Linked DNA regions of Drosophila melanogaster. The gene in region 2 interacts genetically with the main gene of each other region. Each region holds a gene or a part of one and is shown on either strand. Other genes may lie near its edges. The genes, in order: ea and cype.

Region 1 (4,359 bases), on a different chromosome or scaffold from region 2:
ACCGTGCGCTGGGCGTAGGGGGAGCTGTGTTTAACAGTCGATTTTTCAGCCTCTGTCTTGGCGTACTTGGCCACATTCTCCGGCGTATTGTACGCGGCCAAACCCGGCAGCAGGAGCTTATTGTAGACAAAGTGCGGCTTCATTGACACCACGTCGCCCTTGTCGCCAACGCCCTCGACGAAGGTCTTTAGCACCACCTCGATGTTGGGCCGCTTTTTGACCAGCGTGTCGTCCACGAGCTCGTAGATGAAGTTCTTGGCCCTCATCCGGCGGGGTTTCTCGTTGGTTTTGTGCAGCGGCGGGTCATATTTGCGCTTCAGGACGAACGTGGTCTGGAAGCAAATTGGTGGTGAATGGGGATCGCTTCCCTAATCCAGGAGAGCACTTACCCGCACTTGCTGCTGCAGGCTGGTGGCCGATTTAAGCAAATTTAACGGCGTTACGTAGATGTTCTTCAACATTTTTACCACCAATATGTCTGCGTTGCCAGACTACTCAGCCAGTTTGCAGTGTTGCCAGATATGATTATTTAATCTGCGTGAGTTCAGCAGTAAAATTTTCAGTGACTTTGAAAACGATTATGAATTTAGTTTTTTTATTGCAACTATTTCTTTACATTTTAATAAAGCAAAATAATTTGCCCAATTTACCTTTTAATTGATTAAAAAAAATGTACCTTTGAAAGTATTATGACTGTCAATTTTAATTTAATAGTTTCATTACAAAATAAAAGATTGACTATGCCAATATTTCGGCGAACGCGCCCATCGACATGCAGTATGCGTACACGCTGTGAAGCAGTTTTTAAACGGAAACCGTTAGTCGAATTTATTTACAATATGACATTTTACAATCAGGACTCAATAGTGTTTTGTATCCAATCAACGTACTTGCCCACCAGCGTGTAAACTCCTGGCCATCCGGCCAGACCGCACGGAGTCGGTCCAAATGACACGACGCCGGCCAGGAAGTAGTAGGTGTTCACCTTGTTGGTGTCCAAGCCGATGAGCGGTCCCCCGGAGTCACCGCGACAGGAGTCGACGCCTTCCTTGCCGCCGGCACACATCTGTGTGTCCTCGAGGAGAATGTCCTGGCTGCTGTAGACGTTCTGGCACTCATCCATCCGGAATCCCTCCACGGCTGCCTTCAGCTTGAGGTTGCTGGCCGACAGCTGCTCCGTTTTGCCCCAGCCGGCCACGTCCATGGTGATGCCGTCGAAGGTGGCCGACCGCAGATTGACGTCCAGAGGCAGGCAAATGGGTCGCACAAAGTCGGTGTACTCCACCTGCTGGGCCAGACGCAGCAGGGCTATGTCGTTGACCTGGTTCTTGGAGGCCGGTATATAGTCGGGATGGGGTATAGTACGCTCCACGGGCACGTCCAGATGCGGTGGCGCGCAGTCCTTCATGCCGCGCACATCTACTTCGCAATCGGGATTAGTGTTGGTGTCCCATTCGCCCAAACGAACACCGGACAACCGCCAGTCGGTGGGCAGTGCCTTTCCGTTGACACAATGCGAGGCTGTGATCACATATCTTGTGCTGATCAAGGATCCGCCGCAATGGTGACCCTTTTTGCCCTGGCCTGCATGTAGGAATTAACCAGTGGATAAGTGCGTTCAGACTTAAGACGATGCCCCTCTACTTACTTTTGGTGTATTCAATTAGAGCCATCCAGGGGAACTCGTCGATCTTGGTCTTCATTCCGCCATAGATGCGATTGGACAGGATGTTGCCGCATTGTCCTGGCAGCGGCAGAAGGCTGTTGCTGGTTACATTGGGCTTGGGCGGTGGCGTCGTCTCCGATGAGCTCTCCCTGTAGCGGTCCGGACAGCAGATGAGCACCTTGCCGTTCGTATAGCCGCACTGGCTGCGACTCAGGTAAAGCCGGTCCGTGTCCCGGAGCGGGGTGGTGGTCAGCAGGCCGTATAGGTACTTGCAGTCCTCCAGATGGATGCACAGCGCACGCTCCCGATTCGGCGTTATGCAGCGCCCATAGTTGGGCACCTGGGCCGCCTCGTTGGGGAAGTAGAACTCTGGAAATCCAGACTTTAGGTTCAGAGAGCTTACCAATATTGTGAATACATAAATTAGGTCATTAGCTATGGAAGTACGGAAACAGGTTTCCAGCGACTTGTGAAGGCCCGCGGCAAAAAAAAACAAATACGTTAAGCTAGTCATGTCCAGCAGATGAGCATCTTGGCAGTCTTCTATTTACTTACGGCCCGCCGATGATTTCGCCAAAATGCCCAAAAAGAGGCAGATAATCGATGGCTTTAGCATTTTCGTTGCGCAATCGGACCTCGTTAGTCCTTTCTCAAGACGTCGTCAGTGGTTTGCGGATAATGTTTTGCCTAAAAACAATATTACAGACCGACCGCAGAAGCAGTTATCAAAATAAACGGCGCGATAATATGGACGATACCAGGTGCCACAGCGGAGCGGAGTGAAACGAAGAGGCCGAAGCTGAGCTTGGCGCACAACTGAATCTTCGGACGGACGCGGTTCTCGGCCTGCGAGCTTTGTCGCAAGCTTTTTGGCGAGTCTCCAAATCAGATATGAAGATAATCGTGGGAGCAGATCTTTATCTCTCTTCCAATTATTATTCTTAGTAATTGTCAGTTGGCTTATTTAACTTTGGTACTAATAGAATTTACTTTGTCACATGCTGAGTGTAAGTAAAGTACTCGGCAAATTTAAGGGAGTATCTACCATTATTTAATCCCCGCCTAAGTTCGATTGTATCACATGGTGTTTTGATAGCAAAAAGCACTATCATTAACGATAAGCTAACGGTATATTTCGTTCTACAGCAAACTGAAAGTTCTACCGACTTTAAATCGGACCTAAAGCAAAGTTTAAAGTCGCAGTTTAAATTGCAGCGGTCGCGTTGCCAAACAACACAGTATGACCGAATTCGCAATGTTGTTTGCCACTGTTTTGGCAACTCGCATATAGCGGTACGTCGCAGCTGGTGATAAGTTAAATGTTTAATTTAAAAAATGAGCGTGGATATTTAGTAAAGGTCGAATAGGCGGCAAGTTTGGAGATCGGCAGTGGTGTAAGTAGTACGTCGCTTGAGTGCCGAGTGAGTGCTGTATGTGCAGCAATAATGCGAATGCAAGTCTCATGTGTCTGGTCCGATATTTGCAGCTCATAATTTATTCAAAATGCGCTTTGTGCGGCGGGGAACTGTCCCCAAGATTGCAGCATGTTGCTGTGTGGTGGTCCTGCTGGTCACCTGGTATGTGTTGAACGTGGAGCGGGATCTGGATAAGAGCCTCAAAATGTAAGTATGTCTAGTTGTGCGTCACAGCGGCTTGGGATATTGATTGTACGATGTTTGTCCATACATATGTATATGTACATATGCGCATATTTGTGATAAAGAGTATTTATCTTTTGCAACTAATTCAATTTTGTATTTAATTAAAGCGAAATCATCGAGCGCTCCATAAGATCGGCTGTGAATCGTGGCGAGTGCCGGCATCCCCATCTGCCGCTGGACAATCCGGACATCATGAAGTTCTACAAGCCGGTTGAGCGAATAAACTGCGGCGAGGGCATGGACTGGGTCATGTGTGAGGTTGGTTGGGACTGGGCCCCTTCTACAAGAGCTGATTGCTTAACTTAAACCTCGTTTCCCCCAAAGAAATCCATTTGCTTTGTGCGACCAGAGATTGCGTCCAGCCACGAGGATGTGATCTGCTCCTACACGGACATTATTCGCAAGTCGGACTACAAGGTTCGCTTTGGGCAGTCACTGCGCATGAAGGAGCCCTATGTGCTGCAGGCCAGCGACTTTGTCAAGGTGGTCTGTCGATCCTCCAGCGGCGAGAGGTGACCATTATCTTATTTTATAGTTATGCCTATACTTTAAAGAATGATCTTCATGTACTTAGTTGGTTTGGCATGGCCCACGGAATACGGGATACGGTGCCCCGTCCACCGGCCTCCAATTTCTCCCCGAACTTGGCCGTCCTACCACCCGAGGCGGTTGCGCAGGCCCAGCAGCAGATGCAGGATGGGGCCACAGCTCCCATCTACAATGTCCTCATGTTTGGCTTCGATTCGCTGAGTCGCAATGCCTTCATTCGCAAGCTGCCCAGGACCTACGAGTATCTCACCCAACAGTTGGGCGCCACCGTTCTCAAAGGCTATAACATTGTGGGCGATGGTACGCCACAGGCGCTGGTGCCCCTACTGACGGGTTTCACGGAACTGGAGCTGCCGGAGACAAGGAAGCGGTTGTCCGGGGCAGGCAGCGTGGATTCGTATCCTATGATTTGGAAGGATTTTGCCCGCCTGGGATATATGACCTCCTTTAATGAGGATTTGCCCAATGTGGGCACTTTCACGT
Region 2 (3,387 bases):
AGGAAATTCTAAAATAACGACCAGTTTGCTGCCAAATTTACATAACCAAATCGAAATCGATCGAAATGGGCATTCCGGATATCCGACTGCTGGTGACGCTGGATTTCGAGGTCTATGGACATGTACAAGGTGTGGTTTCATGGGAAATAGGAATCGGGAATCAAGCATAGCATAGCTCTCTCGAATGGTTGCCTAAAAATAAACCCTCAGTAGCTAGTTACTTTGGGGCCCCAAACTGTCCTTGGCTTTGTTTCACGCCCCATTCCACATGCACTAGAGACTATATAAAACATATACCATTGCTTTTTTCGACCGGCAGGCCTGAATCTCACGAAAGACACCCGCGATCGCTGCACCAAGGCGGGAATCACTGGCTGGGTGAAGAACAGCAAACAGGGCACCATTGTGGGCAAGATGCAGGGGCCCAAGGAGGAGGTGGACAAGATGTGAGTAAACCGGAATAGTTTACACTCTCCATGCTAATATTTTCTGATTAAATCTACTCTTAGGATCACCTGGCTGTCCACTGAGGGCTCACCCGGCTGCCAAATCGATCGCTGTGAGGTCCGGAACCAGGGCAATCTCAGCCGACTGGACTACAAGGACTTTGCCATTAGGTTTTAGATGTGGTCCGGTTTGTGTGGCCTTATAGTTTTGTGTGTTTGTTTTGTGCATTACTTGGCTAAGTTTGTAAATACGAGTAAATAATAAAGAATTTAATCATAATTTGCCTTCACATTTACTTTTGCTGGCAATACAAGATAGCTCTAAATTAAAACGCCTTCGTGCACGTACGTAGACTGAAATCTATTTAGTTTTCAATACAGAAGCGCAACTCTTGTTCTACAACATCATTTGACTTAGACTACTTGTGTTTTGGGATAACATAGCCTAGCAGGACTGGAAACGACCGGCGGCCTTCATGCGCTCGAAGGACTTGTTGGCATCGTACTTCCTGCAGGGATAATGGATAAAACAGATCAGATGATGACATTCATGTGGCATAGTTAAGCTATATTTACGAGTAGAAGTCGGCGTAGGCGGCCTTCTTGGGATCGTTGACCAGAATTTTGTAGGCGATGGTCACCACGGCGGTCAGGCCCAGGGAAACGGCCAGGTTGCGCTTGATGGTGGCATTGTGGAGGCCACGGAGCACGGGTCCGGCAGAGGAGGTGGCTGGAGTGTTGGCCATGTCGCTGAAAAGAATGAAAATCACAAAAATCAATTATATTGCTCGGTAGTTACGTAAGGTGCTCAAAGGCAGCTGCCATTAAACGCATAGCAACTAATGAATTCTCCCCAGAAATTTATGGAGTTGATATGGCCAACTGGTATGATATTTAATTACTTTTTTTAAGTTCCAAAACCCCTTGAACCGTGTTTTTTAAAGAAAAACCTTGTTATGTACTCACATTTGCAAATTCAGAATCTGAGATAGAGATGGAACCTAAAACAAATTCTATTCAATACTATCGTTTATTCGAAGAAGGTGGCAGCATTCGCGAAATTATCGATTGATCTTTGGAAAATAAATAATAAAAATATATATTAAAAAGCACTCCTAGACAATTTGACAGAATCATTTCATTTAATAATAAAATGATTTTGAGGCTAAATACGCAGAATTAAGAGAAAAGTGTGTTAAGTAATAACTTTTCAAATTTTTCATCTGGAAGCTATGAGGCCAGCTAAAATCAATAGTTTAAAGCAGGAAAAATATTTGTGAATGAAATTTATATATTGAACATGTTCAAATTATGTTACCATTATATTTATGATTGCTAAACATGTTTAAAAATAAAAGACAATATAGCAATACAATTTATTTATAAATTTATTAGCACTAATTAAATAAAATTACAATTTCCAAACAATTGACAACTCTGCTCGAGCCAAATTTCCAATACAGGCTACTTCGCAGCCCTGGTAACCACAAATATGTCGGGAAATTTAGGGAATTTCGGGCCGCGGACGTCTGGCAACACCGGCTGGAAAATAAAAATGGCTACCACTGTGTGCTTGTTATTGTTCGTGGAAATTTAATAATTACGAAGTTTTTTGTACAAAATAAACAGGATAAACGCATCGTTGCAACGCCAATTGATGGTTGAAAAACAAGCGCGAATCTTTCGACAGCAATCAGTGCGTTTATCAAGTGCCCGCACGCAATCGAACCGTGTGAAATTAAGCCCCCGAAAATCGGCTGCCCGAATGCGTGAAAATTTTCGAGTTCCGCTAAACAGGCATTACTATTTGGCCAGCGATTGTGAAATGGAGAACAGTGGGGGCCCAAACGTATTCAGTTTGCCCTAAACAACAATTGAAAAGCGGGCACGCAAGATTTCCAGCAGGAAAAGCGCTTGAAAAGTGACGCAGGAAAATCCGTATCCGCGCCCCGCACGTGTGTGTGTGTGAGTGTGTGTGTTGCAGTGCATGTGAGTGTGTGTGTTGGTGAGGCTACTACTAAAAAAAAAAGTAAAAAGCAAAAGGGGAGAAGAGAAAAAAATAATAGTGGAAAATGCCCAAAAACCCAAGTCGCAGAGGTTAAAAACTGAGTGCGGATTACATCGAAAGACAATAAACCGAAGCCATCGAGTGTCAAGCCTATAATGCAATTGGTCCAACAATTTCAATCCAAAGGACGCCACGGCGGTCAATCGAAAGCTAAATGCGAGAATTGAGCAGCGTTCTAACAATTAAACCTACGACGCGTGCGATTGTCGTGTGATGATATGCCACTTAAACAGGTGAGTTTATCGTGTTTCGCTTTTTGGTGGAGCGCAACGGAACAGCTGATTTGCGATTATTGCACTTCAAGTGGGCTTCTTTTTCCCCCCTTTTCTTGTCTGTTTTTGCCATCGCTTTTGCTCATTTTACACTTGCGTCACCCACGCACTCAGAGACGGGTATAAAAACAAAAACAATAGGCGGCGAAAAGGGTGAACTAATTGGTTGGCTTCGAGTGTATAGAATCTCGCATTTCCCGTGTTTATTTTTTCATCTCTCTTTTTCGGTTCCCCCTTTTTTATTTTATTAATCAGCCCGCCCCCTTTTTACCCCCCGCCTTAGTGCCAAGCAAGTATTTTGGTTACCTTTTCCCTCTGCCACACACACACACTTGCCCAACCAGCACACGTACACGAGCAAGCACGCACACCGGCGCACCGCCTTCCAAGAGGCCAAGAAGAAAAATGGCGACGACGTCGGGGTATCGATAACACGTCCCGCAGAGAGAAAAGGAAAACGCACGCACGCATGAGAAAATGCAACCTGTGGGCACCAGCTGCCCCGACCCGCTCCGCCCCCTTTTGGCATGCCGCGCGTGGAAAATGCAGTCAGCTGAATTGTCTTTTGGGTTACTCAATTCAAGCGCATTATCTTTGGGGA

Evidence for each region.
Region 1: of cype (region 2) and ea, changing one enhances a phenotype caused by changing the other (phenotypic enhancement), as found in Drosophila melanogaster (one study listed by BioGRID).

What each region holds. Positions count from the first base shown.
Region 1 is NT_033777.3:15,326,856-15,331,214, reverse strand, and holds ea (easter), read right to left. Parts: upstream 2,487-4,359; 5' UTR 2,283-2,486; coding exon 2,222-2,282; intron 2,133-2,221; exon of another isoform or gene 2,036-2,132; coding exon 1,649-2,035; intron 1,585-1,648; coding exon 854-1,584; 3' UTR 807-853; downstream 1-806. Other genes in the region: mRpL9 (mitochondrial ribosomal protein L9), read right to left, coding at 1-332, 390-461; CG6236 (uncharacterized protein), read left to right, coding at 3,170-3,288, 3,435-3,585, 3,652-3,839, 3,902-4,359. UniProt on the Drosophila melanogaster protein: Component of the extracellular signaling pathway that establishes the dorsal-ventral pathway of the embryo.
Region 2 is NT_033779.5:5,325,312-5,328,698, reverse strand, and holds cype (cyclope), read right to left. Parts: upstream 1,473-3,387; 5' UTR 1,413-1,472; intron 1,411-1,412; exon of another isoform or gene 1,349-1,410; intron 1,197-1,348; 5' UTR 1,193-1,196; coding exon 1,023-1,192; intron 956-1,022; coding exon 892-955; 3' UTR 730-891; downstream 1-729. Other genes in the region: CG14022 (uncharacterized protein), read left to right, coding at 66-129, 320-446, 510-624; Ncoa6 (nuclear receptor coactivator 6), read left to right, coding at 2,733-2,747.